Linked DNA regions of Xenopus tropicalis. The protein of the gene in region 2 purifies or fractionates together with the protein of the main gene of each other region. This does not show direct contact. Links are inferred from orthologs where the notes say so. Each region holds a gene or a part of one and is shown on either strand. Other genes may lie near its edges.

Region 1 (4,111 bases), on a different chromosome or scaffold from region 2:
GTTTCTCCAAAAAAACTATATTATATATTTGATACTAAGTCACTGAATATCCATCAAAGCTACTTACATTACACACACCCCATGCCACAGTGCATTCCTCAGAAGTAGCAGAAGCTTGGTTTGCTTGGCACTCTATGCCTAGAAGATACAAGAGGATTATTTTTATTTTCTGCATTTGTACCATTCAAAGGGGTTATTCACTTTTTCAAAGATAAATGTATATATAAGCACTGGGACTAACTAAAATGTTGCTTACAGACAACAGTTGTTTTATCGGCTAAAGTTCAATTAAGGAAACTTACACAAGTCCATGATGTGGTTCCTGCAGATGGCACAATTGTCCACTACAATGTCCCAGGCCCAAAGGGCAACTGCATTCCACTGCAACAAAAAAGAAAAAAAAGTTAAAGTGATGTAAATTTTGGCAATAAATTAAATATGTTTTAAAACTCATCTAATCACTTAGCACAATCTGCTCTAAGTTGGTTCATGTGTATAGAATTACCGGTATGTTCGATTTACTAGTTTAGCCAGTTTTACCAGACAATGGCTTTGGAGTCTTACTGGAATGGTTAAACGTGGCCCAAATGTGGCTCAATGAAGGCACCAATATCAATGTGCCTAGATCAGGGCCGGAATAATGGGTGCCAGACAGGTACCTCTCCTGCCTCCCCCTAGTCTGCACTAACTTGTCATTTCCTTCACTGCACGTGGGTATTATGCATGGGAGGGTGCAGGGGTAAGGTGGCCGACCAGGTTGCCTAGGTGCCCGGTCGGCTTGGCCTGCCTCTGGCCTAGATGCTTGGCAGACCCTGTTACCTCAACATGTAGCCTCACACAGAGCTGGATAAGAGTGTCGTCTTGATGACCCCCCCCCCCCTTTTTTTTTTTTTTTTTTTTTTAACAGTAATCTCAGGTCAGACTGTATACAACAGCTCCATCAGGAGCTTATTTCTAACAAATAAAGTGTCTATACCATAAACATATACTTTTCACTAATTCACTCAAATTAAAAAAAAAAAAATATATAAAAAGTTGGGGAGCAACACAATCATGATAAAAGTGACAAATAAGGGCTGTGATTGGTTATTTGGTAGCCCAATGCAAACTGGCAGAATAAAGGAGACTATTTGGCAGTACAGATGGTCTTTATGCCTACAAAACTTGCCTTCAAATTAGACATTAAGAAATAAACACCTGTTTTGAGGCCACTGGAAGCAACATTAAAGGGGGTGGTGAGCAACATGTTGCTCATGAGCCACTGGTTGGGGATAACTGATCTATAACATGAAGGGAGAAGGACCCTCTAAGCAACTCCATAAAAAGGTGATTTAAAGCACAAGTTGGGGGATGGAAATAGGAAAATTTCCAAGTCTCTAACTATAACTGGACATACAGTTACATCTATCATTTAGAAACTGAAAGGGTATGGCATAGCTGTAAATCTGCCAGGAACAGGCCATCCACGAAAAGAGAGTGAATGTGCAAGGAGAAGAATAATGTAGAAGGTCACTAAGAGACCCATGACAACTCTGTGGCTGAAATTGGAAAGGCTATAAATACAACAAATACTGCCCAGTAGTGGAAGAAAGAAAGCCACTGTTAATCAGGGTTGGACTGGGCTACGGGACACTGGGGAAAAAGCCCAGTTGGCCCCAGCCTTCATTTAGGCTTACCCAGTGGCACATACTACAAAAAAAAGTATATTTATATGAGAATGGCTTTTTTGGATGAAGTAGGGTTTTACATATGAGCTTGTATATGCAATACATATTTAGAGACCTACATTGTTTCGGAGTATAGTTTTCCTTTAAGTATAGGGTATGCAGGGTCTGAGGGAGAGGAGGCTGTAATGGCAACATACACCAACAATGGCACATACACCATGTTTGATACTGTAAGCTAAACACACCATGCCCTGCAGAACTATGGTGGCAAAATCATCACGCTGTGAGAATGCATATTCACAGCTCCTGTACCGTAGGGGTATATATATCATGCTGTGCAAAAAGTGGAGTAAAACATCACCGATGAAGTTTATAGCAGCCAATCAGAACTGTTGAAATCTAATAGCCGATTGGTTACCCAGCTCAACACCACTGATAATGCTTCACTCCACTTTTTACACAGCATGATTAATATACCCCTACATGTGCTAAATGCAAGTCATTTGACCCCTACATTTACTTGTTCAACAATTTATTTTTTATCAAATAGCCCCGTTTCTTGCTCTCACACCGCTAAAAGCCCAAGACACATTCCCTGCCTCCTCCAGGGAAACAAATGAGCAAATGAGACCACGCAATGTCTGTGGCCCTACAGCTCCCCCGCAAACTCGTGAAGTGCGGCTACATGATCCCGCCTCCCAGTGCAGCTGAGAGGGGCACTTACATTGGTTAGAATTCATCCAATCGTTTGTGGCATCAGTAGCTATCCGCTATTGGGCCGCCGGAACGACAGAAATCACCGCTTTGCCAAAACGGACCGCCCTAAGTATTAGGGTTTAACATTTGATTCGGCGGAAAACACGTCAATCAAACATCTAAAAAGCTTTAGGGCGCAAGCAATCTAGCTGAATAGTATCAGCTGCTGCACTGTCGCCCTCTTTAAGTATTAGTTAGAAAGACTGTTCTGATCATTTGCTACATCCATAACATACGCAAGCAAGCACACTTACCTTCTTAACCTCAAAGCGCTTCTTACTAGCGCTGTTATTCGTTCCGCTTGGTGTGTCTACATCCATTGCGGCTGCCATTTTGAAAAGAGGAAATTCCGGGTCTATATGGCGCATGCGCCGAAAGCTGGGCTGATGCCTTGGTCATGTGATTAGCATTAAAGGCGCACAGTTTGGGGCGTGTTAGTAATGTGTGTGGGGGCGGAAGACGGTAACGAGGAAGAGCTGCGGTCTGCAGGCTTGGAGAGAATTTATTTAAAGGCGTAGGCACATGCTCCTTGAGGGAAGTAAAATGTACAGATTTAAGCAAGCTAGCCTTTTCATCTGTTCGTATTCACTAAGGGGCTGTGGTGTTCTGGTTAAGCAAAATATTTCTGTATTGAACAGTTAACCCTTTCACTGCCAGCTGATTTGGTCAAAGCAGAACTTGTATTGCCAGACTGTTTTGAAACATTTTGCACTCTTAGGGCCTTTCCTTGGGGGGACTTTTAGTTTACACAGGAAAACAATATATCTTTTTTTTTTGGGGGGGGGGGCGACCTAAGATTTCAAAATATGGTAGAATTTTTGTGTGATTCCAATTCTGGAACAAGATATAGGCTTCTTAATGTCTAAAAGATTAAAAAAAACAAAAACAACAAAAAAACAACAACACGTTTTCCGTAATATAAACACATATAAAAGAAACAAATGATTTTATGCACAAAAATACAACTGATTCGGAAAGTCCCATGTCTCCTGAATGTGCCAGCACCAAATATATATATAGTTTTATGTCGATTTCTCATTTGTGTGATTCAAAAATTCCCAGCGGTACACTACCTACCAAATTTCCAAAGCACTGCTCCAGAAAGCTTGCATACTTAAGATTTTAACACCTACATTTCAGAAGGTTTATACCAGAAAATTATACATTTTTGGAAAGAACAGATTCTGAGGAATGGAGAATAGGTTAAAACTGTCTGTCTACTCCAAACTACGAAGTTGCAATGCTTTCCTAAAATTATTGTTTTTTTATCAAAATTTATCACAAAGCTAAAACTGTAGTACTGTGTTAGCCAGTGTCAAAAATAATAATAAAAAAAACAAAATACAAGAGTATTATATATAAAAATAACATTGCAAGCTTTCGGAGCTCTAAGGACCCTTCGTCAGGCAAAATATGTATAGGTTTCCACAAGTGTGTGCAATGTAGGGGCCCTAAAATGAAAATACCCCTATATGATCTATCATTTCTGTCATTTCAGCTCCTGCAAAATCAACATTTACATTATTTTATGTGGAATGAAGCTACAAAAAATGAATGCTCACCCCAGAAAGTCATATATTTTTTTGAAAGTACACATTCCCATAAATTCAAAATGGTTACACATGCCTTTTTTACTCCAAAGTACCAAGCTGCAAAGCTTTCCTAAAGTGGGCGATTTGGATGATATT
Region 2 (4,067 bases):
CTCTCTTCCTCACCGGGTCTGCGGCGAGTTTTAAGGTAAGTGGGTTGCGTTCAAGGGCCGGGTCGTGATTTTGAGATTTGCAGTGAAACCTGCAATTGGATGTGTGTGCTGTGTTCTGTTCCGTTGTTATTGTAGATAAATAGGTTTCCTCTGCCGTAGTTTATTTAACTTTTATGGAACCACGCGTGCATTTGTTACGGAGTTGCTTGGGGCCGTGGTCTCTTTCAGCTGTGTATTAGCGTATTTCTGGCAATTAGTGTTACCGTATTGTTACACTAGATATCTTGGCGGGAAGGGAACATGGGTGCTTAAAGTGGGCGCAAAATGAAGAACGGTGCCAAAGCAAGGCTTGCGGCCTAGTCCCAATCTGCGCTGCATCCTCTCCTATGTAAGCCATCCGCCTCCTCTCAATATATACTTGGCTTTAGGCGGATGTGGTTAATATTGCCGGTGCTGTATTATTCCAGACGGTAAATGCTTAAGGCTCGACAAGTGAACGTGGTTTGGGGAAGGAGCGAGAGAGCTGTGCGGATGGGTGGCGGCGCGCCTACATGGGATTCATTGTACGTAGTGCAGTTTAGACTGGTCAGGCGAACATAGTGTTTGTGGTGCCTGTAAGCGCTGAACTATAGCAGGACTGGGGCTATTGCCAGTGTCAGGGCCCGGCTGGCACAATGGCGCTAGTGCTGACGTGTATCACCCTCTCTCCCAGGCAGGCTCGGCGTGGCCGGTGTATCCGAGCCAGTGGGGGCGGCTTCACTCACTAAATGGCCGGCGTGCTACGGGTTACTGCTGGCCCTGCTTGAACGCGGGATAGCAGCTGCTTACTTATTGGGTTAAATGTTCTGTGTGGGCTCTGCTCTTTTCTATAGAAATGAAACGTATCTAAACCATTAGTCCTGTTTAGCGTTGCGTTCCCCCATCTGGTTGTTCCATAAAGATGGCGGCGGCTCTCAGCTGAAGGATTTTTTTTTCTCCACAAGATGGAGGCTGAGTCACAAGTGAGGAGACAAAAGAGCTGGGAGCGCTGCATGCAGGGCCTGACTCATACACCAGGGGGAGTACAGGCCTCGCTCTTGCCTTCTTCCTTTTATGTAATGAGGGATTTCAGGGTTTTTTTTCCAACTAGATATCTGTGCAAAGTTCTTGAATTGTGGGTGGGGCTGCTTGTGTCTCCAGCCCTTGGAACTGCTGAGTAATGCCTGCCATGGCTTGCTTTGATGTGACCTATATTTTTAGCTTTTTTTTTTTTTTTGATGTTTTTTAGTGTCCACCGCCAAACATCTAACAATCCACAATGGGAAAGGAAAAGACTCACATCAACATCGTCGTCATTGGACACGTAGATTCTGGAAAGTCCACAACAACTGGACATCTTATCTACAAATGTGGTGGTATCGACAAGAGAACCATCGAAAAGTTCGAGAAGGAAGCTGCTGAGGTAAATTTTGTTAACAATCGCACTTCTTGTGGTATTGCAGCAGTCTCACCCCCCCCCCCCCTTACTAAATATTTAGTCCTGCACATGTTTGTTTAGACAAGTCTTGCCTGTGCACTAATGTGTACTTGTATTTGGTTTGTATTAATAGCCACCTGCCTTGGGTGTTTGTGATAGTAGGGGGAGTATAAACATTGCAGTGTGTCAGGTCATTCTTGGCAGAAGCCTTGTAAGGGGTTTTTAATCATGTCATTGCTGAACTTTTCACCTAACAGATGGGCAAGGGCTCCTTCAAGTACGCCTGGGTCTTGGACAAACTGAAGGCCGAGCGTGAACGTGGTATCACCATTGACATCTCCCTGTGGAAATTTGAGACCAGCAAATATTATGTTACTATCATTGATGCTCCAGGACACAGAGACTTCATCAAGAACATGATCACTGGTACCTCTCAGGTAGGTTTTAAGTCCCAAGCAGCTTTGCTATTTATATCTAAAGTAGGTGAGGCAGGCTTGCTGTTAAGTGCACATGAGTAAAAATGTATGTTTTCTCTTGTAGGCTGACTGTGCTGTCCTGATTGTTGCTGCTGGTGTTGGTGAATTTGAAGCTGGTATCTCAAAGAACGGACAAACTCGTGAGCATGCCCTCCTTGCCTACACTCTGGGAGTAAAGCAACTGATCGTTGGTGTTAACAAAATGGATTCAACTGAACCCCCATACAGCCAGAAAAGATATGAGGAAATCGTTAAGGAAGTCAGCACATACATCAAGAAGATTGGTTACAACCCTGATACTGTTGCCTTTGTACCTATTTCTGGATGGAACGGTGACAACATGCTTGAGCCCAGCGCCAATGTAAGTACTGTGGCAGTTCACTTAAATGTCTACAGCCTGGCATACTCTCTGGTTAGTGTAACAGTATTTTGATGTATACAAATCTTGTTTTTTCTAGATGCCTTGGTTTAAGGGGTGGAAAATCTCACGTAAAGAGGGATCTGGCAGCGGAACTACCCTGCTGGAAGCTCTTGACTGCATTTTGCCACCAAGTCGCCCAACTGATAAGCCTCTGCGTCTGCCTCTGCAGGATGTCTACAAAATTGGCGGTAAGTAACACTTTTCCTATGTGTATGCTGGAATGTTGTTCGTGCTTTAGGTTTACTGGCCTACATGGTTTGTGGGGGAAACCAAGTTAAAAATCGTGCATCTGTTTAAAAAAACTTAGCAGCCTTTTTTTTTTTTTTTTTTTTTTGTACAGGTTAACTGCTTGTCTGAAATAATCCCTCCCCCCCCAACTGCAGTAACAAATTTGAAGTTCACCAGGCATGGATGTCCCTAGTTAACAGCTTTGATATATTACGTTACTGCTTTTTTAATGTCTAGTGAATAAAATATTGGCAGCAAAGAGCTCATAAATCTAATTTTAGCTTAGACACTCTAAACAAGTCTCCAGAAGGAAGACTAGTAATTGCCAACATGTACGTTTAGGCCTTGTTTTGGCAGTGCTGGGATTTAGTATGTTAAAGTATTCACACTAAAATGGCTGTTTCTTTCAGGTATTGGTACTGTACCAGTTGGTCGTGTGGAGACTGGTGTCCTTAAGCCAGGCATGGTGGTTACTTTTGCCCCTGTTAATGTAACAACTGAAGTTAAATCTGTTGAAATGCACCATGAAGCCCTTAGCGAGGCCATGCCCGGTGACAATGTTGGCTTTAACGTGAAAAACGTTTCTGTGAAGGACGTCCGTCGTGGCAACGTTGCTGGTGACAGCAAGAATGACCCACCAATGGAAGCTGGTACCTTTACAGCACAGGTATGCAAGATGGCTTATGGCTAAAGGAAGTGATATGGCTTTCCATAGCTGGCTATGGGGGCATTTAAATCGCTTTGCATAACTCTAAGATTGTTTTCTAAATGTCTGACTTAATAGGTTATCATCCTGAACCACCCAGGCCAGATTGGTGCTGGATATGCCCCTGTGTTGGATTGCCACACAGCTCACATTGCTTGCAAGTTTGCTGAGCTGAAGGAAAAGATTGATCGCCGTTCTGGTAAGAAACTGGAAGACAATCCCAAGTTCCTGAAGTCTGGTGATGCTGCCATTGTTGACATGATCCCAGGAAAGCCTATGTGCGTGGAGAGCTTCTCTGACTACCCCCCTCTTGGTAAGTCTTTTTCAAAATAACCTTTTTGCAGTCTTGTAAAATGCTACCCAGTAGGCCCTTAAGCTAATTATCCATTTATTTTTTTCAAGGTCGTTTTGCTGTCCGTGACATGAGGCAGACTGTTGCTGTAGGAGTCATCAAGGCGGTCGATAAGAAGGCTGCTGGAGCTGGCAAAGTCACAAAGTCTGCTCAGAAAGCACAGAAAGGCAAATGAATATTTCCAGCATCTCTCACCTCAGTCATAACCAGTGGTGGAGGATTGGTCTCAGAACTCTTTCTATCAATTGGCCATCAGAGTTTAATAGTCAAAGACTGGTTAATGATTACAATGCATCGCAAAAGCTTCAGAAGGAAAAAAATGCTCGTGGACACATTTGTTTGTGGCAGTTTTTAAGTTATTAGTGTTTTAAATCCAGTAATTTCTAAATGGAAGCAACTTGACCAAAATCTGTCACCAAATTGAGACC
Region 3 (4,153 bases), on a different chromosome or scaffold from region 2:
GAACTTTTTCCATACTTGTGTTGCTCCCCAACACTTTTTCCATTTGAATGTGACTCATGGGTATAAAAGGTTGGGGATGCCTGCTATAGAACATGACAGCCTTCACCAAAAGCTCTCTCCCAGTGTGTGTGGGCTAGTGCGGCTGACACACACCAAAAAATTGTTTTTCCCAAACAGAATGCTGGCTCTATTAGCTTGCAACTGTCCTTGGGGAAACATTTTTCAGGGTGACAGGGTGCCCTTCAAGGTATGGTGTTCCAAATTCCAGACAGATCCCTTATCGGGAAAACCCCAGGTTCCAAGCATTCTGGATAACAGGTCCCATACCTGTATTATACTTTATCCCACCCCACAAAAAAAAAAAAAAAAAAATCTGCCATAGCCATTGAGCCACAAGCCAGGTCATAAAAACTAATTTTAATCAATATTACAATATTCCCTATTTGCTGAGTAACGACTTAACCAGCGCAACCAATTGCATGTGTAATTTTCGCGCAATGTGCAATAACTAAGAGGTTAGAGGATGTGCAAGGAGAGAAGCGCATTACTGAATCCCAGCAGAGCTCTGAGTAAAGACGCGCACCCATGCACAGACTATGGAACGCTGTAGCCCGCGGGTTTGCTAGTATAGGAAGGGATGGAGTCTGGAAATCTTTAGCGAATAATAGAAGAGTCCAAGTCCTACCGAACTAAACTACATCTGTCAAGGGCACAAGAGTGACCTACTACCTTGCTAGACACACAGCCAACACCATTACACCGTAACGCAGGGTTACCGCATCGGTTATGCAAAACATTACAAAGAATTGCCATTTCCAAACCACTCACCCCACCGACTCCCCTAAACAGCTCTGGGAATATTTGGCCTTCTAGACCAGAACAGCCCTGGCCGGCACCCTTGACCAATATGGCGGATTTAAGCAACCTCCGGAACAAGCCACGGAAGATGGTAAGAATTATACGTAACTGAGAAAGCTTCGGTAACTTCCGCACAGGCAAAGACTAGAGATCGACAAAGTCCGGCAAAAATGACGAACGAGACTCGGAGAAACTTCGTTTCCGAAATGTTGCGAACGCAACATCGTTAGTCTTCGGCACAGGCAGTTTCCGGATCGACTTAACATCGGCTATCTCCGTGATAAGCGGCAACACATGCAATCCCAAATATTTCTGCAGTCGGAAAACGAAGATATGGTCTCCAGTAAGTAATACTTTGCCGAAAGGGTGCGGATAAAAAAAAATATAAACTTGAAATGATGTACATGTTACATAGTGAGTCTTTAAGGAAGGCTTAGCCCGCCCCTCGTAGCCCCGCCCCCTGTCTATAAAAGGCATCTACCCGGCCTGCAAGTTCTTTTCTTTACCCGTGTGTGCTAGGCTTCTTGAGTGAATTGCTGTAATGGGTTTCGGCGATCTCAAATCCCCTGCAGGCCTTAAGGTCCTGAATGAGTTCCTGGCCGACAAGAGCTACATCGAGGGGTCAGTGTGGTAAATGCTATATTATAGTTGTGCTAATGTTCGAAAGGACAAGGAATGTGTAATATGAATGAACGTGTTGGCTTCCAACGCGTGGTCCTAGGCCGCAACCTCCTGCTGCCTGACTCCTGAATTCTTTTAGCTGCAGTGCCGTAAACGTGTCACAAAATCCCAAGTGATGTAATATGTAAAGGCTGCCTGGTTAATTGTGCCTTGTGCTTTAGTTATGTATTCTTTCTAATGTTAATAATTAAGTGTTTCTTGGAATCATTTGTAAATGTAATTTGTATTAAAAGCAGAATAGGTCTGGATTTCTACACTTTCGGCACTGCTGGCTACGACTGCTGAGCCGATGTAGCAGAAGCCAGCTGCTTAAACTGCACTATGTCAGAGAACGGAAAATTATATAAACTGTTCAGTGTAACTAAATGTGCAAATAGCCTTAAAACTTGGATAATGTTTATAGGAAACAAATGTTTGGACACTATTTATACAGTTTTTTCTACTGTACTATATTATGTTTAGTGGTTATGCTGCTAATTGTATATTTACCCCCACCCTTTTCAGATATGTCCCTTCCCAGGCTGATGTTGCAGTATTTGATGCCCTCTCTGGTGCGCCCCCTGCTGACCTTTTCCATGCTCTGCGTTGGTACAACCACATCAAGTCTTATGAAAAGCAGAAAAGTAGGTAAGCAGTATGATAAAGTATAGCTATTGCTTTCACAGCAGTGATTGATAAAGGAGCATGGTTGAAAAAATATGATACTGTGCTGAATACAATATTCTTTGTTTTAGGTTGAGCTGTTCTACAGCACTTTGAAGCACGTTCACTACTATACTTATCTAATCTGAATCAGATTTTTTTTTTTTTTAATTCGGTTTATTGGTTAACATCCAGCTGAAAAATCACTGCCTATGGCTGTAGTGCTCATGCAGCCAGAAAGTGGCTGCAACATACATAAGCTTTGATAGTACTGTTGGCCTGCTGTAGAATGTAAATGGGCACAATTCTAATTAACATGGATCATGAATGTGTATCATTTTTGTGGTCTATGAAGTATTTTAAAGGAGTTGTTCACCCTTATGTTAAATTTTAGTATACTGTACAATTTTGAGACAACTTTTTTTTTTTTTTTATTTTGGTGTTTGAATGATTGTTTTTTTGTTAAACCGCTGTCCAGTTTCACATATCTGGTTGCTAGGGTCCAATTTAACCTAGGCAACTAGCCAGTAGTTTGAAAGATGGAAAATTCAATATAGGAGGCCCTAAATAGAAAGATAAGTACAAAAAAAAACAGCTTCACAGAGCAACAGATTTTTGGATTCTGAGGTCAGTGACCACCCCCCCTCATTTGAAATCTGGAAAGAGTCTGAAGAAAAAAGGCAAAAAAACTATACACCATAAAAATGAAAACCAACTGAAAAGTTGCTAAGAATAGGCTGTTCTATAACATACTAAATGTTAACCTGAAGTGTTCTCTTTGACAGTAGGACAGAATTGCATTCTCTTGGCTTAATTGATGCTAGCTGAGCACACAGAATGCCCAGTCAGACATGCAGAGGAGCCTCGTCAAATAGTAGCGTGGCTACCCATATTTGGGCCAGCTTGCAGTCATTTGCAGTTAAGATGTCAGTATTGTAATTTGTTCTCTATTGTAATTTGTTCTCTAAAGTTGTATGTAATTCTAGATAACTGTATATTCCTTGTGACTCACCTCTAAGCAGCTGCTAATGCAAATAGCCTAGAAGTATATTTCTCCTTTGTAAAGTAGTTTTTTTTTTTTTTTTTTTTTTTTTTTTTTCCTAGCCTGCCTGGTGTGAAGAAGCCTCTGGGAAACTATGGCCCTGTTAACATAGAAGATACTACAGGCAGTACAGCAAAAGATACCAAGGAAGAGGATGATGATGATGACATTGACTTGTTTGGTTCAGATGATGAAGAGGTGGGATGTGTAACAATCTTTAGATGTAATAAAATTAGACCTAAGAAGCATAAGGTGCAGAATAAATTACACTGGCTGTACAGCTGTGTCCATAATTTTTTTTTTTTTTTTTTTAACATGCTGTTCTACAGACTGAAATGTAAAGAGAGTTTGCTGTGTTTCATGTAGTCTCCTTGTGGACAATGAACGTAGCAAAAATGCGTGCATGCTTTAATTGTGCTCCACTGTAACCACAAATTCATTATATTACATGCCCAAGGCACACTACTATGGCCACATACCTGAAGCAGTGTTTGCTGTTGGTTACTAAGGTTCTAAACATGTGAAGGGAGTTGTGTAAAACACAAATTTGGCTGTACTATATTCAGGCTGGTCATGTGATGAATGAGCTAAATCACCATCTTTCGGCTGATTTGTGATGCATATTGTCTTCTAAACTGACTACACCAGCCTGTTAACTTAAAAAAACAAAAAAAAAACTTGCTATTGTGCAGAATCTTAAGTTTTTCTATTTCATAGGAAAATGAAGAATCAAAGAGGGTCCGCGAAGAACGCTTAGCACAGTATGAAGCAAAGAAGTCTAAAAGTAAGTGGCCTTCTCCCGAGTGTTTATTCTCCTTAAGGCATATGTTTTTAATTGTTTTGCCTTAAGAAAAGCAAAGTGCAATCACTACCTGTTTACATACTGGTCTTCAGTTCCTTTTTTTTTTTTTTTTTTTGTGGAATGGAAAT
Region 4 (4,100 bases), on a different chromosome or scaffold from region 2:
CCATGCACCATGGCATTGTATAAATGCCATCAGGGGATGGTATTTCTACAATGCTCAAGAAAGCATGACATTTATATTTAATATGTGTCCAGTTTCTTTTGGTAGGGTATTTGGTGGCAATTTAAGAATAAATATTATCTGAGAGTCCGATAAACTTTTATAGACTTAGTGAGGCTTTACATTGACAACAATAAAAAAAATAAATCAACTACAATAAAAACAACAAGGAAAGGCAAAGTCACTTGGGGGTGCCAAAATGTTAGGCACCCTCAAGTGACTTTAACCGCATACCTTGTACCCCGGGCTGGTGCCCCTGTTAGGAGAAAATTGCACCAGCCCGGGGTACCTGTAGCGAGCGCTTCCTCCTTCCGTATTTGCGCTTCAGGCAAATTCCCAGGACAATCGCATGCGTAGTAGAGTGAAAAGCCGACTTTATAGTTTAAGTTCGTCTTTTTCACTCTACTGCGCATGCAAGCGAAGCAGGAAGGAGGAAGCGCTCGCAGCTACCCCGGGCTAATGCTATTCTCTCCGAACAGGGGCACCAGCCCGGGGTAAAAGGTAAGGTGATTTAAGTCACTTGGGGGTACCTAACATTTTGGCACCCCCAAGTGACTTAGCCTTTCCTTCTCCTTTAACCCATGCAATGCCATAAATATAGGATCCATGGCACTTGCATGATGGTAATTTGGTGTTGTGCCACATATTCTCTGGTGCGGGTATATAAAGGGACTAACAAAATTGTTGTTCTATGGTAGGCCCTGATTAATACATCTTCATGTTTTTGGCTTTATTGTTACAGAGGTCTCATGTGCAGGCCATGTATGTATGTAATGAGAATTGCCTTACCACATCCACATCCCTGTCATCTCTCCCCATGTCATCGTCATCATTATCATCATCTGAATCCAATTCAGGCCCAATGTAGTTACCAAATTCATCGTACAAGTCAGCGTCCATTTTAGCTGAGCCTTATTTTAAAATATAAAAAAATAAATAAACTCACTGGTCAATGACAGAATCCCCACCACAAATACACACATTAAAGGAATACTCTCTTTCCTTTAAAAAAATAAAAAAAATCAAGGTTTCGAGGCAACTTTTCTTTAAAGTCAGATGAAAGGAGACCCAAGGAGCCATTATCTATTGCCAGCCTACTTCCCCACCAGCAGCAAACAGGCTGGTGTTTATTAGCACTGCTTTGCTCACTGCCTATCCATGCATCTGCCCAACTCTATCCACTCCCCTTGGACGCTGGGTTGTATGCAACATGTTATCTCAGAAAGTGAATACAAAGGAAAGGCTACTCACTAATGTTCTTGCCGGCAACTGTTAGCAACAGTTATAACTGTTACCTTAAAATCAAGAAGCAATTATTTGTATTGGGGTAACAGTATAACAGAATAAGGTGAAAGTAGAAATAAAGGCAAATAGGATCATTCTACAAGTGAAATATAAGCCAGAGATGAATTATGACTCTCTACGTTCCACAGCCACAGTTAACCTTAAAGGAACAGTAACACCAAAAAATGAAAGTGTATAAAAGTAACTAAAATATAATGTGCTGCTGCCCTGCACTGGTAAAAGTTGTGTGTTTACTTCAGAAAGTCTACTATAATTTATATAAATAAGCTGCTGTGTAGCCATGGAGGCAGCCATTCAAAGAAGAAAAGGCACAGGCACATAGCAGATAACAGATAAAACACTATTGTATTCTACAGAACTTATCTGTTATCTGCAATGTAACCTGTGCCTTTTCTCCTTTTTTCCAGCTTGAATGGCTGCCCCCATGGCTACACAGCAGCTTATTATATAAATTATAGTAGGGTTAAGCTGGCCATACACGCACCAATACTATTGTACGAAACCCCGTTTCGTACGATATTCGGTGCGTGTATGGCATGTCGGCGAGTCAACCGATATCGCAGGAAGCTGCTGATATCAGACGACTCGCCGATCGGCCAGGTTAGAAAATTTTGATCGGGCGCCATAGAAATCTGCCGTCAGGGCTGAATCGGCAGAAGGAGGTAGAAATCCTATTGTTTCTACCTCCTTATCTGCTGTTTCAGCCCTGACGGTGTGTGGCGGATCTGACATCATCAGATCGCCACGTGTATGGCCAGCTTTACTGTAGCAAACACACCAATTTTACCAGTGCAGGGCAACAGTGCATTATATTTTTATTACTTTAAAGCTCTTATTTTTGGTGTTACTGTTCCTTTAAGCTTTTACCATAATACAGACTGATGTAGTCTGGCCAACTGGAGGACTGCAGGTTGGACATCCCTGACATAATTAGCAGCTACAGTAGGGTATCCATCATTCTGCTCTAATGTATAAAGCATAAAAGAGGAAGGCTTATGCCATACACCCAATGGCCCAACACCAAATCAAGGGTACCCAGGTAATGTGGGGGTTTACTACTTGTCACATCATTGCCCCTGGGTTATCCACCCCAGATAGGACACCATAAAAAATGTACTTTTACTGCATTACACCTAGAGGAAAAAAATGGCAAAAACATTACCATTATTTGAAAACTTTGCCCAGATTAAAAAAAAAAGGGGGGGGGACTTTCCCTTTAATGCAATATGGCAACACAATAAATGTAGTTAGCCGTGCTGCTTCCTACACCCTCTAGCAACCCAGCCAGGCCCTGTGCTTACTGTATATCCACCTAAAGGTATCAAGCGAGATTCATTTCTAGCTACAAGGAAAATATCCCGTTTCCTTTCCATTCATTGCAACTTACCCGCTCACGCCGCTCTCACACACACAGACACACGCCACTTCCTGCGACAAGGCCACGAAGGACCCCGCACGTCGGCTATACGCTTCTCAGCGTGCAGTACTCGCAGGCCTTCAAAGTTAAAACGCCCTTTCCTTTTTATGACTCAAATGAGGCTACATGCTAGCAATTGTCATAATGTGCAGTTATACCTAGAATTGCACTAATTTCATATGAAACTTGCAATTTGATCAGGCACCCTGTTAAACACCTATTCAAATAAGCTCGCCTTTAAAATACGTAAAGGACCTAGATGTTTTCTGATTGGCCAACAACAGTCTTTGACGTTCGTTCGTGTGATTGGCTGATACGAAATGGAACGTTTCCATAGGAACGGAGAAGCGGAGGCAGACGGTGAGGAGCAGGTAGGTTTGTATGGCGCTTTCACTTGCTGGATTGCGTGCAGTTTGCTTAAAAGTACATATTCCGATTTAGAATTGTTAGATATTTTCAGGGTATGCACCTGAAATCTCCAACCTGCTGCACTCCAATATGTTGAGTCTAAGCAGGGCCGCTGCTGGCCAAATGGGTGCCCTAAGCAGAAATGTACTTTTGTGCCCCCTCCCCCAAATATTACGGAAGTAAAAATAAAATAATAAAAAAAACACCTACTATAGGGGCCCCACTAACAGTGCCCCCAATTGCCCCCATAGACACTGCCCCCATAGACACTGCCCCCATAGACACTGCCCCCATAGACACTGCCCCCATAGACACTGCCCCCATAGATTGATTGAACTATCTGGGACAGCGGGATGCGCTATAAAAACCGGCGGGACAGTGTTGGGGGTATGTTATAATATATAAAAACGATTTTTTTGAGCAGCAGGGATGGTGCCTCCCTGGGAGTTGGTGCCCTATGCAGACTACATACTCATAGTTACATAGGGTTGAAAAAAGACCAGAGTCCATCAAGTTCAACCCATCCAAGTAAACCCAGCACACACAACCCACACCTACCAATCTACATACTCACATACATAAACTATAAATACAACCACTAATACTAACTGTAGATATTAGTATCACAATAGCCTTGGATACTATGCTTGTTCAAGAACTCATCCAAGCCCCTCTTAAAGGCATTAACAGAATCTGCCATTACCACATCACTAGGAGGGCATTCCCCAACCTCACTGCCCTCACCGTGAAAAACCACCTACGCTGCTTCAAATGGAAGCTCCGTTCCTCTAATCTATAGGGGGGGCCTCTGGTGCGTTGATTGTTTTTATGGGAAAAAAGAACATCCCCCATCTGCCTATAATCCCCTCTAATGTACTTGTACAGAGTAATCATGTCCCCTCGCAAGCACCTC
Region 5 (3,500 bases), on a different chromosome or scaffold from region 2:
CCAGGGGGGACGGCTTTGGTATGTCCCCATGGTGCCTGTGTCCCCCAGGACGCAAGAGAAAAGGGGATTTATACTTACCGTTACATCCTTTTCTTTTAGTCCTATAGGGGACACAGGCCACCCTCCCTGGAAACTTAGGGATCATGCATACCTTCTCACTCAGCTGTGTTATAGCTTATAGTTATTAAGTTAAGAGCACTGTTTGCTCGGTCTTGTTACATAACTGAGGTACCTGGGTGGGGGATGAGGTTATATAGGGGAGAGAAATCAAAATTATACAGTGTCCTGCCTCCTGATGGGAGGGGATTTAACCCCATGGTGCCTGTGTCCCCTATAGGACTAAGAGAAAAGGATGTAACGGTAAGTATAAATCCCCTTATTTGTGAGCCACAGTCAAATGTAAAAAGACTTGGAGAGCAACACAAGCATCATAAAAGTTCATGGAGGTGCCAAATAAGGGCTAACATTGGCTATCAGGTAGCCTCTATGCACACTGTCAGCTTACAGACTGCTTTATTTGGTAGCTAATCTTGTTTTTATTCAATTAAAACTTGCCCCCAAGTCAGGAATTCAAAAATAAACACCTACTTTGAGGCCACTGGGAGCAACATCCAAGGGCTTTAGTGGAAATGCTTTTATGCTTATTTTTTTTTTCAAAGGCACTCATTTTCAATGTAATCTATTTCTCAGGAATCATGTGGGTCATGGTTAGAGCCAGGCTCAGCACCACAGTATTCATAATACATTTTGATAAAATCTGCCTTTTCGGTACACTGGTTTAAAAGCAACATTATAACTTCAGTGCCATATAACCTAACATCCAGGCAGACTGTTCTCATCATCCTAGATATTTGGTTACTGTTTTATCTCCCGGGTGATGGGATAGTCTTTAAACTCTTGCACTGGAAAAGTTCTGCAAGACCAAAATATCATGTCTGCATATTTTGCCCCTAAATATATAATTTTATATATATATGTTGGACTAAACTGTCAGTTCTAAAATGTAGGTACATATTTAGCTGGAGAGACGTGCAAGTAGCAGCAGGGGCCTGCCACCATAAGCGTGTTGAGAACATGCCTCAGATGGCAGTGCCCAGCAAGTTACCAGGAGTGGCAAAAAGCTGCGTGTGAATACCCACACCCAAAGCACATTATATAGAGCAGTGTTCCCTAACCAGTGGCTCCTAAACAACATGTTGCTCACCAACCCCTTGGATGTTGCTCCAGTAGCCTCAAAGTAGGTGCTCATTTTTTTATTTCTGGGGAGAAGGCAAGTTGCAGTTACATTAAAACTAAGTATAATGCCAAACAGAGCCTCCTGTAGCCTGCCAGCCCACATAAGGGCTATTAAGTAGCCAATTACAGCCTTTTTTATGCTTGCGTTGCTCCCCAATGTTTTTTCCATTTAAATGTGGCTCACAGGTATAAAAGGTTGGGGATCCCTGATATAAAGTATTATATGAAATGAATGTGTAGATACTGGTACCCCAAGCAATTTGTGCATAGTAAATGACAGTGGGTACTGGCACCTATAGTATATTATAGAAAGGCATATATTATTTGTAACATATATTAGTGATGTGCGGGTCGGGTGGGTTTGGGCCGACACTTGCACTTACCACCCCTTTTTTGTATCTGTTGTAGACATTTGAATGCAACAATTGTAGGATCATATTAATAAAGCTTCTACTTATCCCTTTTACAGCATTTAAAGGGTCATCACGTTCTCCATCCATTTTGCTCTCGCCTCCTTCCTATCGTCTTTGATGAGTTTGTAGACATGAGCTTTGGAACAGGTACCTGCAGAAATTCAAGTTTTGATTTGAAGAATATCAACAATAGACGATGAGTATCAACTATGCTATGCGCATAGTGCATATCTGAGGTTTTAATTTCAAGTCTGGACATAGCAACACTTGATGAACATTTGAATGTGAAAGACAGGTTGCAAAAATTACACTTTTTCTTTTCATCTTGTTATACAGGTGCTGTAAAAATCACTCCTGCCCATGATCCAACTGATTATGAGGTTGGAATGAGACACTCTCTAGATTTTGTTAACATCATGGATGACAATGGGACTCTTATAAATGTACCCCAACCTTTCCTGGTAAGAATAGCACATGGACAACACAATTTTACATAATTTAACCTTTTCTTTCTGTGCTAAACTGTTAATCTTTGTTTTCTGTCACATGCTCTCTTTAAGCAAAAATCTTTTTTTCAGGGAATGAAAAGATTTGATGCCAGAAAAGCTGTTTTGGATGCACTAAAAGAAAAGGGACTTTTCAAGGAGGTCAAAGACAACCCTATGGTTGTGCCAGTTTGCAGGTAACATTTACAGCAGCCACACAACAGATTGATTCTCTATAGGCTTACATTAATTTTCAAATCTTTTCCCTTAGCCGTTCAAAAGACATTGTAGAGCCTTTGCTGAAGCCTCAGTGGTATGTACGTTGTGATGAGATGGGGAAAAGAGCTGCTGATGCTGTGCGTGATGGACATTTGCTAATTAAACCTGAATTCCACACTAAGACATGGTTCATTTGGATGGACAATATCAGGTGAACAAAAATTTTGCTTCAGGCTTTGTAATTTTTTTGAAGTAACCCCAACACCATAAGTTGTATTTGATGAAAAGGTACTGTACTATTAAGGGGCTTTGATTGACAGTTAGGTCTAATACATGTTTTGGGGGCGTTGCACCTTTTGCCTAGAAGAGCTCACTCTGCTCGTTTCTCTGCATTAAGGAATTGAGCTGAAGTCAGTTATTTTTTTTGTTCTGGTTATTAGAGTTAACTCCAATACATCTGCTAGGAAAGGAAGTGCACCCTAAAAGATGTATTAGATCTACTTGTCAATCAAGAATGAAGAGTGACATGTTTTGCAATAGTTCCCATTTAATCCCCTGGCATCTTTTTCAGTATATCTTTTTCTCCATGTGATCTTTTTCAGTATAGAAGATTTGTAATAGCAACCCAAGACACTTGGTTTCTTATAAAATGTGTGCAATGCTTTAAACACATTTCTCTTTCTTTTACAAATTGACCTCTGTCTTTTTTTCTGTCCGACTGCATAAGGGCAGAGGAGTGGTTGTCTTGAGTTCCACTGCAGGGGAACACAGAGGTTAATACAGACTGCCATGTCCAATCAGTTCGTGCTGATTGTGTTCCATTTGCGTTCAGCACTTATGTAGAGTTGGTACGATCTTAATGAAAATAACATGCTGAGTTACTTCATGTGCTGTCTTGTAGTGGAAAGCTTAAAAGATCCACTGCTAGGAAATGCATAATGCTCTTACACTCTAGGTCTCTTATTAGCACCCTAAAATATTGCAATAACTGGTTCTCTGAAATGAGTTTAAATGTTTTTTCTAGGGACTGGTGCATTTCACGTCAACTGTGGTGGGGCCACCGTATCCCAGCTTACTTTGTGACAGTTAATGATCCATCTGTACCTGCTGGAGAGGTAACAATACATGCTTTAGATATGTCATCATT
Region 6 (4,089 bases), on a different chromosome or scaffold from region 2:
CACAGAGCTACTAGTAGCAGCTACTTGCCGTGACTACTAAAAAAGAGAATGCTGATCATTTACAGATAATTGCCTCTACATGTGTTTTAGCAGAGGCAATTCTCAGTATTGTCTATGGCAGGGTATTTTCTGGAGTTTAGTAGTCATAAAAAAAAAGTAGCTGCTACTAGTAGCCCAGTGTGTCTTCACCCTAAGAGTGGACTTTCATTATACCCAGTCTGCAGGAGCCCGAGACACACAGAAAGAGGGACAAAAAGAAATGGATAACCTTGATGTAGAATGATAAAGATTCACAGCTCATCTCAGAGCTCACATGCTCTCCAATTTAAATCTGAGACTCCAAGTCAGCATTTGTCTTGTAGTGCAATTCTATGCATTCCGCCACAAGGAATGCCTATAAAAATATGAAGAGATTAAGGTATAATTTGCCAGGTTGCTATTTTATGATTTCAGCTTTGCAGCTGCTGTTTGAATGGCCAGCTATCCATAAGTTTTTTTTTTTTTTAATAACCTTTCACAGGAATACTGCTTATGTTTATAATTCCACCTTAGTGTAGGGAGTGCAAGCAGCAGAACTATAAGTGGCCATCTCCAAAGATAGAACACTTCCCAAGGTTCTCAACCTATAATGGGACATGCCAGCAGGGTTGATCGATATTGGCGAGTACAGAAAATCTGTATTTGTCCGAAATATGTGGAAACATCTTTACTGAAATGTTTTTATGTAAAATCACTATTTCTGGGCAGTTTCCCACCAGGAGGCCAGCAGGCAGGATATGTGACTGAACCTGGGCCTGGGCTGGGGATTCCATGGATTGATCTAAATAAATAGATTTTTAAGAAGAGAAAATGGCCAGAACGAGAGCAGAAATGGTAGGTGCACAATTTTTGGGTTATTTTAGGACCATCCAAACAGTGACATAACTAAGCAGCACCTGGGCCCAGTTGCAATTTTAAATGCATGCACTCCCTCCTCCTCTGTACCCCTTTCCCCATTCATTTATTTGCAGAGAGCAGAAGAGCAAACATTGGAAATAAGGAGGGAGAACCATACAGCAGACCAAGCCTGGACTGGCAATCTGTATATTCTGTAAAATGCGAAAGGGGCTGCTGTAAGATGCCACTGGGCTGGGGGTTTGGCCTCTGTGTACTTGAAATGTTGAGGCCTATTTTGAATCCCAGTCTGGCCCAGCAGCAGACCTTGAGACCATTATACCTCCCCTGTGGCTGTGGGGTCTGCTGTATACTAGTTACAGCAACAACCTCCAAATTAGCTTCTTAGGGTAAGAACCCACATAGCGAGTTACTCACCCACAACAGACCGCTGCTATCATGGGCGAGTAAACGCTCTGAAAAGGCTTTTCTCCTGCAGGCAACTTCACGCAACTTTGGAAACCGAAGGCCTTTTCACCCATGACTTCTACTGTTGCCGATGGAAAGCCTTTTCGGAGCAGTTACTATCACAGGTGGGTTCTTTCCCTAAGGGCCAGAGAGTAATTGCTAGGTCTGATTCTATAAAGGCTAACCTGCTGAAGATAAAATGATAACAAGAGATAAAATGATTGTCTCACCATAATGAGCAATGGCGCTGCTCTCAAAAAGGCAAAAACCGTCGTTGCCCTCAAATGCTGGTACCTAAAAGTCCAGAAAGAGTTTGATTAAGGACAATAATATTACCTTAAAAAGTTCATTACATCCAGGGCTACAGTATGAATATATACATACTGTACACACATTGCAGATTATCTGGAGGGGTTGAAGTTGAGGGACTATGGAAGCAAATGCATTACCTTGCCTAAGGGGAATTTCTTTAGGAACTCGGATGTCTTATTCGTTACTCCAAACTGGAATTCTGGAGGAGAGGAGGCAACCTTGATGGGGAACCCCGAATACTGAGCAGCAATGAGGGGCTTGTATGCCCTCCAGTTATCAGGGTATGTGTACAGAGTCTGCAGAGAGAATACACACAGTTATACATTATACACACTGAGGCAAGCAAATATTGTACAAAATGATTATCCCCAATCATATGGGACTTTGCACCACCAGGCACCATATACAATTCCATGTACCATATTTAGGGTTGCTGAAGGAAACATTTTCCTTTATATATCTAACACATTCTAATGTACACCCAAGGCCCTGGAAAGCAGCACATATCTTACTACATGCCATATCACTATTCTTATGTGAAGTCTCCTACTGGGTAAAGCTAAGCCTTGGCAGACAACAGAATGTAAGCCTAAAATCTTTAACTCAAGCAGCTACTTCTTGTCTTTATACTCTTATGGCAGCAGCAAATAAAACCAGGGTTGCCACCTCACCACTTTACGCCACACTACTAACATGTATTAGCTACAACACTGCATGGCAGCTCAAAAGCCTTCCCATGCGTTGGAAGTTCTCTATAGAGAATACTGTGCATCTGTCACATGTCACTGTATAGAGCCGCTGTCACACAGCAGCCGGTATTACAGCCGTACAAATGGCGCACAGAGCGGGAGAGAAACGCGTGTGGAAGGAGCAGGCAGGGACACGTGACTAGGGGCAGTTACCGGGGCAGCGCCGTATTGCCCTCTCTTTGTACCGCTCCCCTTAGTTCCGGGTAAAGCCGGGCACTATTCCCACTAACTTTACCCCATACTACCAGCACCAAACCGGGAGATGAAAGGTGACCCGGATAGCAGAGCGCACCCCATATCCCAGTGACCCACACTACGGCCCGGATATATCATAAGCTGTCGGATGTGGATGGATTTTCTGGGACCTATTCATTACTTACCCCGCCGGCCATCTTCACGCGAGTAGAAAGGGAGGAGCCGCAGTTCCAGCTCTCCGACGTAATATAGGTGCCGAAAACAGACTACGGGCTGTCGTAAAATAGAGGAGTGTAAGCGACGGGAGCGTAACGTGACGCTTTCGGGACGTACAGGCAGGTGATATGTGGCAGTATGGGAGATACAAAGGGTTTCTGTCAGAAAACCCTACCCCAAAAAAAGGATTCTATGGAGTTAAGCTGTGATAGTGAGTTTAATAAGCTGAGAGTGAGAGGGATTCACTTCCCTGGCAGAACCTTCCAGAACAGCATAGAGGGATTTCCTTGCAATGTAGGAGCCAGCTGCTAAGGGATAATACATTTAGTCAGGACCATAGATAGAACTAACATATGTGGCTGCCTGAAATATGTATTATAGGTGTTATTGAAAAGTCTGTTAAAATGACCTGTCAAAGGTCATTTGGGGTAGAAAAGTAAGGTTTATTAGACACTTAATTGGGTTCTGAGCAAAACATAGAACAAAACCAGTGTTGCCAGATTTATTTTTCCAAACCAGCCCAAAACTAGCCAAAAGCCACTTCGAAAGTAGCCCAAAAATAGCCCAATATACAAAATGAAAACAAATTCTAAAAAATAAAAGTATATATGGGAAAATGCTTTTTTTGTAGTGTATAATTACTACCCATGCCCTGTGCCCTCTCTCCAGTTACTGGGATGGCTGATGTTTCCCAGCCCCCTGTGCCCAGTCCATGCAGGTTATAGTAGTTTTGCTGGTTCAGGTTCAGCAAAGAGGAATAGAAAAGGGAGCTTCTGTCTATAATTGCATGCTGGGTATTGTAGTTTTATATTAATCTTAGCTGTAGGCTAATTGTAAGAATTGTACTTTCTTTTAAAGTAACTTAAGTTTTTGCAAAAGTTACATAAATTGCATAAGTGTAGTGGCCCAATGATGTTGCTGTGGGGCCCAATAACCAGTCATTCCTCTGCTGTAAAGTTCATGCAGGAGTGCACAAATCCATCTGTTAATAGTTTTCAATATAAACAGCCGACATTACTCTTTAATAAATAGTTAAAATGAGTAATTAATGTGCTAATGTAATATGAGTAGTAATGTAATAATGAGTCAATTCACTGGGGACAGTAACATTTACCTTGACTTTTTTGATCTATTGGGGGGGTCATATTGGGATATGCAAGTTAGGTTAGGGTATTTCCATACAGCTGATTCTTGAATCTAAAAATCTTTCAGTTGTGCCTGCACCCGGAAGCACTGAATCCGCCTGGGTGCAGGCACACGCATGATATTTCTGCCT
Region 7 (4,078 bases), on a different chromosome or scaffold from region 2:
GAGTTGTAGTTCTGTGCTACTGGTACTTTTCCAATGTAGTGTGTTTGTGAGTAATGGGGTTACTGTATTAGTGGCTAAGGATGGGATGGTGTAAGGGCTGCCTGTGCTTAGATTGGGGAGGCTTTAGGGTGGGATGAGTAATGGGGTTCTGGTAGATATAGGGAAGTGGGAACCTTGGGTAATCAGGAGTCTGTGTATTAATGATTTGGGTTGGACACTGGGTGAAATGGGGCACTTCCTGCCCTCTAGTGGGTGGGTATGGGCTATATGGGTGCCTTTGGGTGGGATTTAGCTGCAGGGGGACCAATTCAAGGTGCAGTGGTGTGGGGGTTAATATTAAAGGTAGGTTGTTGGGGGCACAGAGGGGTGGGTGGATGTGCCCAATAGATGGGATGGAGAGTGACTTGGGCACGGGGTACCCTCCTCTTGTTCCCCCCCCCCCCACTAATTTCCTTTCTTGCCTTTAGGGGTTGATAACTAAACCAAGTGACACCAAAATGACTGTCAAGATTGGAATCAATGGGTAAGTTAAGGGGTTAATAACTTCATTGGGGGTGGGTGCTGGGGCTTAAGGGGGTAATATGCAGGTGAGTGGGGGGAGATGCTGGGGTATAAGGGGGTAATGGACCCAGACAAACAGCTGGGGGGGGGTTAATGGCTTGGCAGATTAAAGGCCGATGGGATAGTGTTCTCTGCACGGTTTAGCGATTGGCCAGTGTAAGATGCCCCTTGGCTCTGGCAGTTGAGGGGTTATAAGTAATGAAGCTACAGACCTTTCATAAATGGTTAATGGTCCAGGCCGATTATTCTTTCAAAATGGCTGCTGCTCCTTAACCCCTCCCCTGCCAGAACCATGCGGAGTGTGAAGCTTCCTCACGTCCCACTGAGTCACTGCTCCCCACCTCACACCCCAACCCCTCCTCTCCATCCGCTGCGGCTCCCCATTGCTCCACCTTCTGCCAGGAGGGGGGTACAGTAATGCGCATGGGGGTGTCCCCAGTGTCTGGCTGCTGATGTCTCTCAAGGACAACCCCAAGGTCACAGTGTATCCTGGGCCAGGGTCACCCTTGCACTGTCAGTGTCCTATTGATGAGCTGTACCTGGGGGGCTGATGCACGGCACCTTGGGTGAATCCCCTCCCCTCGCTGCTGCAGAATAAGGAGTAATTGCACAAGTGTGGGGAAGCTGAGTCACGTCCTGCTCCCTGGTGGCAGCCGCACGTAGGCACAGTCCCCTGGCTGTTTTATTCTGGTTAGTGACCATAATCCTCACAGCACAGAGTCTGACTGGGCTCTCGTGAACCTTCTAGAGACTTCTCTCATTAAAGTGGGACACTAAGATGCCCCCCCCTGGCATGGCTAAGTAGGGCTCCTATTAATAGAGGTGTTGATGCCAGCTGCTGTAACCCACGCCAGGGACATTATCATTCTGCCCTGCACGTCTCTGCCAGGACTCGGATCCAGTACTGCCCCACAATGGAGGCTGCTCCCGTCACTCTGGCCACTCATCTCTCAGCCTTACTACACACCCTCCTGTTTGTCCTCATTACGCGTCGCTGAACTTCACTGTTGAACTTCACCCCGAGCAAAGTTCAGCCCTGAATGTGCAGCCAGTCACTCGTATTGTGCCTCGAAGCATGCAGGGCAGTGTCAGGAGTCGCAACAGGCAGGCTGTGTGATTATTGCCTGTAATAACAGGGCAGTGGCAGGCAGACTGATTATTGCTTGTAATAACAGCCATTATTCAGGTTGTGCTGCGTGAGCAGTGCTTGGATAAACTGCCCCCCCCCCCCCAGGCTGGCTCAACTGAGTCTGGGTCAGTGGAGATTTCTGTGTCAGCAGGTGTTGTGCTAATGGCGGCACAGACCTTTTTTTTAAAGGGCAAGTAAACCAAAGTACATTAAGTTTGCATATTTCTTAGTGACAGATTGCCTAAATCATGTGCCCCCCCCTTGTGCCATTTAGAATAGTGGGATCCATTTGATCTAGGTCTCTGTATTCTCTATGTAACTGGCCCCTGTTTATTGCTATTCACTATAATGACAGCTATGTAGGGTGCCCTTCCCACCCTAACTGCTTAAAAAGAGGGGGTAGCAGTGCACCCCATTACTTCTATGCTGATCAACCAATTGCACCAGGCAACACTGCCCAGCAAGAGTCGGCAATTGCCAGTGCACTGTGGACAAACATTGGTTGGCTTGGGGGTTCCCCAAGCCAACCAATGAGGGGAACCAGCATGCCTTGATTCTATGGAGGGTTATGGGAATTGTAGTTTAACATATAGGGATCAAAGGACTAAGCTGTTGCATTGTGGTTTCAGTGCATTGGCTAAACTTCCCCTTTAACATCTAGCTGTGACGTCGCATCACTTATGATGCAAGGCTTTATCTTCTTACTGCTTGCCAGTGGCACAAGGGGTTAAGCGCATAAACATCTAACGATAGAAATCATTTTTTCTTTTTAAGATTTGGCCGCATCGGGCGCCTGGTGACCCGCGCTGCTGTTTTAAGCGGCAAATGTGAAGTCGTTGCAATCAATGACCCCTTCATTGACTTGGACTACATGGTAGGTGGCTCCGTTCATCTGCATTTTTGTGTTCTGGAGTATAAAATGCTCGGGAATTAACCCCTCCCACTCTCCGCAGGCTTACATGTTCAAATATGACTCCACCCACGGCCGATTCAAGGGAACAGTGTGTGTTGAGAATGGCAAGCTGGTTATCAATGGCAAGGCAGTCACCGTCTTCCAAGAGTAAGTGAGGTTGTGGCTCAGTCCTGGCCTGGTTCTAGACTGGGTTCCTGCAGCAGAATCTAATCACAGGGGGGATGTTTACAGTTCTCTCCTCTCCCCAGGCGTGACCCCTCCAACATTAAGTGGGGCGATGCTGGTGCAGTGTATGTGGTGGAATCTACTGGAGTCTTCACAACCAAAGAGAAGGCCGGTGTAAGTAGTTACACCCCCCCCCCCCATAACATTTGGCTTTCTATATCTAGAATTCACCCTGGACTTTTTTTTTTTTAATTTTTACCTGCAGTTGCACTTGAAGGGAGGTGCCAAGCGTGTCATTATCTCTGCCCCCTCAGCTGATGCCCCCATGTTTGTTGTTGGGGTGAACCATGACAAATATGATAACTCTCTTCACGTTGTCAGGTAAGTGTGGGGTAAAAATGGGCGTTCCTTTAAAGGGGGAGCGAACTACCACAATGCTACAGGCTGTCTGCAAGCTTCTGTATTACTGGGTTAACTCTTTAGTTCTCAATAGCTCATGGTTTGCAGCTTCTGTAATCTAATAAGGGCTTGTTTACTATAACAACCATGTAAAACTCTAAGCCTGAAGGCTGTAAATCCTTAAACCTTTTTTTATCAGGATATTTGTCTATACAAATACTGATCAGGCAGGGGCTCCCTCTACTGCCCATAATAAAATTGCAGCCTGTTCTAGGTTTGCTGCTTGGCCAAACCATTCTGTACTTGATGGAACCTCTCAGTAATTGGCTAGTGCTTAGGCCTCTGTAGGCAGGCATTGATGTAGGCTGCCCATTCTCTGCCACTTTCTTTAGCTCAGGAATGTTAATGCTGTAAGTCTCACAGGCAATTACTGTTCTACATAAGCTGGCTAGCTTCAACTGGCAAAGTGGCTCTGCCTTCCCAGCCCTGGGCCTGCCTTTACAGGGCCTTGCCCCAAATACAAGCAGTAATGTGTCCTCCCTATATGGGCTGGCCTCTTTACTCTGATGGAATAAGGGAGTGATGCTTAGTTTACCTTTTCCCCTGCTTTGCCCGCAGCAACGCATCCTGCACAACCAACTGCCTGGCTCCTCTTGCAAAGGTCATCAATGACAACTTTGGCATCCTGGAGGGACTGATGGTAAGTGCAGTGGGGCTTATTCAGCTTGGGACATAGAGCCTAAAGCAAACTGTCTCCCCCCTCACCCTGTATGAGTGACCTTAATGGAAATTATACCCCCCCCAAACAATGTAGGTCTCTCTAAAAATAGTGTGAACAAGCTTGTACATAAAAACCCTGCTTTGTGCAAGTTTTCATAACTTAACTTACTTTTTTGTAGTATGTGCTACTG

The links.
Region 1: the proteins of eef1a1 (region 2) and rbx1 purify together in Homo sapiens (affinity purification with western blotting; 3 studies listed by BioGRID, with this or other methods). This does not show direct contact. The link is inferred for Xenopus tropicalis from reciprocal best matches to the Homo sapiens genes EEF1A1 and RBX1.
Region 3: the proteins of eef1a1 (region 2) and eef1b2 purify together in Homo sapiens (affinity purification with mass spectrometry; 3 studies listed by BioGRID and IntAct, counting the BioPlex papers as one, with this or other methods). This does not show direct contact. The link is inferred for Xenopus tropicalis from reciprocal best matches to the Homo sapiens genes EEF1A1 and EEF1B2.
Region 4: the proteins of eef1a1 (region 2) and eftud2 fractionate together in Homo sapiens (co-fractionation; 4 studies listed by BioGRID, with this or other methods). This does not show direct contact. The link is inferred for Xenopus tropicalis from reciprocal best matches to the Homo sapiens genes EEF1A1 and EFTUD2.
Region 5: the proteins of eef1a1 (region 2) and vars1 purify together in Homo sapiens (affinity purification with mass spectrometry; 3 studies listed by BioGRID and IntAct, counting the BioPlex papers as one, with this or other methods). This does not show direct contact. The link is inferred for Xenopus tropicalis from reciprocal best matches to the Homo sapiens genes EEF1A1 and VARS1.
Region 6: the proteins of eef1a1 (region 2) and eef1g purify together in Homo sapiens (affinity purification with mass spectrometry; 5 studies listed by BioGRID and IntAct, counting the BioPlex papers as one, with this or other methods). This does not show direct contact. The link is inferred for Xenopus tropicalis from reciprocal best matches to the Homo sapiens genes EEF1A1 and EEF1G.
Region 7: the proteins of eef1a1 (region 2) and gapdh fractionate together in Homo sapiens (co-fractionation; 3 studies listed by BioGRID). This does not show direct contact. The link is inferred for Xenopus tropicalis from reciprocal best matches to the Homo sapiens genes EEF1A1 and GAPDH.

Annotation. Positions count from the first base shown.
Region 1 is NC_030680.2:115,969,901-115,974,011, forward strand, and holds the start of rbx1 (E3 ubiquitin-protein ligase RBX1), read right to left. Parts: upstream 2,801-4,111; 5' UTR 2,792-2,800; coding exon 2,678-2,791; intron 382-2,677; coding exon 303-381; intron 139-302; coding exon 68-138; intron 1-67. UniProt on the Homo sapiens protein: E3 ubiquitin ligase component of multiple cullin-RING-based E3 ubiquitin-protein ligase (CRLs) complexes which mediate the ubiquitination and subsequent proteasomal degradation of target proteins, including proteins involved in cell cycle progression, signal transduction, transcription and transcription-coupled nucleotide excision repair.
Region 2 is NC_030681.2:91,801,312-91,805,378, forward strand, and holds the start of eef1a1 (elongation factor 1-alpha 1), read left to right. Parts: upstream 1-1,267; 5' UTR 1,268-1,297; coding exon 1,298-1,441; intron 1,442-1,713; coding exon 1,714-1,893; intron 1,894-1,996; coding exon 1,997-2,293; intron 2,294-2,390; coding exon 2,391-2,541; intron 2,542-2,991; coding exon 2,992-3,248; intron 3,249-3,365; coding exon 3,366-3,600; intron 3,601-3,689; coding exon 3,690-3,814; 3' UTR 3,815-4,067. UniProt on the Homo sapiens protein: Translation elongation factor that catalyzes the GTP-dependent binding of aminoacyl-tRNA (aa-tRNA) to the A-site of ribosomes during the elongation phase of protein synthesis.
Region 3 is NC_030685.2:50,704,095-50,708,247, forward strand, and holds the start of eef1b2 (elongation factor 1-beta), read left to right. Parts: upstream 1-1,353; 5' UTR 1,354-1,399; coding exon 1,400-1,479; intron 1,480-2,043; coding exon 2,044-2,166; intron 2,167-3,285; coding exon 3,286-3,421; intron 3,422-3,940; coding exon 3,941-4,007; intron 4,008-4,153. UniProt on the Homo sapiens protein: Catalytic subunit of the guanine nucleotide exchange factor (GEF) (eEF1B subcomplex) of the eukaryotic elongation factor 1 complex (eEF1).
Region 4 is NC_030686.2:17,862,438-17,866,537, reverse strand, and holds the start of eftud2 (116 kDa U5 small nuclear ribonucleoprotein component), read right to left. Parts: upstream 2,801-4,100; 5' UTR 2,750-2,800; intron 2,688-2,749; exon of another isoform or gene 2,664-2,687; intron 969-2,663; 5' UTR 958-968; coding exon 847-957; intron 1-846. Other genes in the region: ccdc103 (coiled-coil domain-containing protein 103), read left to right, coding at 3,100-3,150. UniProt on the Homo sapiens protein: Required for pre-mRNA splicing as component of the spliceosome, including pre-catalytic, catalytic and post-catalytic spliceosomal complexes. Component of the U5 snRNP and the U4/U6-U5 tri-snRNP complex, a building block of the spliceosome.
Region 5 is NC_030684.2:75,080,970-75,084,469, reverse strand, and holds part of vars1 (valine--tRNA ligase), read left to right. Parts: intron 1-1,705; coding exon 1,706-1,796; intron 1,797-1,985; coding exon 1,986-2,110; intron 2,111-2,227; coding exon 2,228-2,331; intron 2,332-2,405; coding exon 2,406-2,564; intron 2,565-3,377; coding exon 3,378-3,468; intron 3,469-3,500. UniProt on the Homo sapiens protein: Catalyzes the attachment of valine to tRNA(Val).
Region 6 is NC_030680.2:36,806,296-36,810,384, forward strand, and holds the start of eef1g (elongation factor 1-gamma), read right to left. Parts: upstream 2,801-4,089; 5' UTR 2,795-2,800; coding exon of another isoform or gene 2,783-2,794; intron 1,950-2,782; coding exon of another isoform or gene 1,791-1,949; intron 1,636-1,790; coding exon of another isoform or gene 1,572-1,635; intron 395-1,571; 5' UTR 269-394; intron 1-268. UniProt on the Homo sapiens protein: Probably plays a role in anchoring the complex to other cellular components.
Region 7 is NC_030683.2:10,006,237-10,010,314, forward strand, and holds the start of gapdh (glyceraldehyde-3-phosphate dehydrogenase), read left to right. Parts: upstream 1-1,278; 5' UTR 1,279-1,326; intron 1,327-2,464; coding exon of another isoform or gene 2,465-2,561; coding exon 2,562-2,564; intron 2,565-2,643; coding exon 2,644-2,750; intron 2,751-2,851; coding exon 2,852-2,942; intron 2,943-3,033; coding exon 3,034-3,149; intron 3,150-3,785; coding exon 3,786-3,867; intron 3,868-4,078. UniProt on the Homo sapiens protein: Has both glyceraldehyde-3-phosphate dehydrogenase and nitrosylase activities, thereby playing a role in glycolysis and nuclear functions, respectively.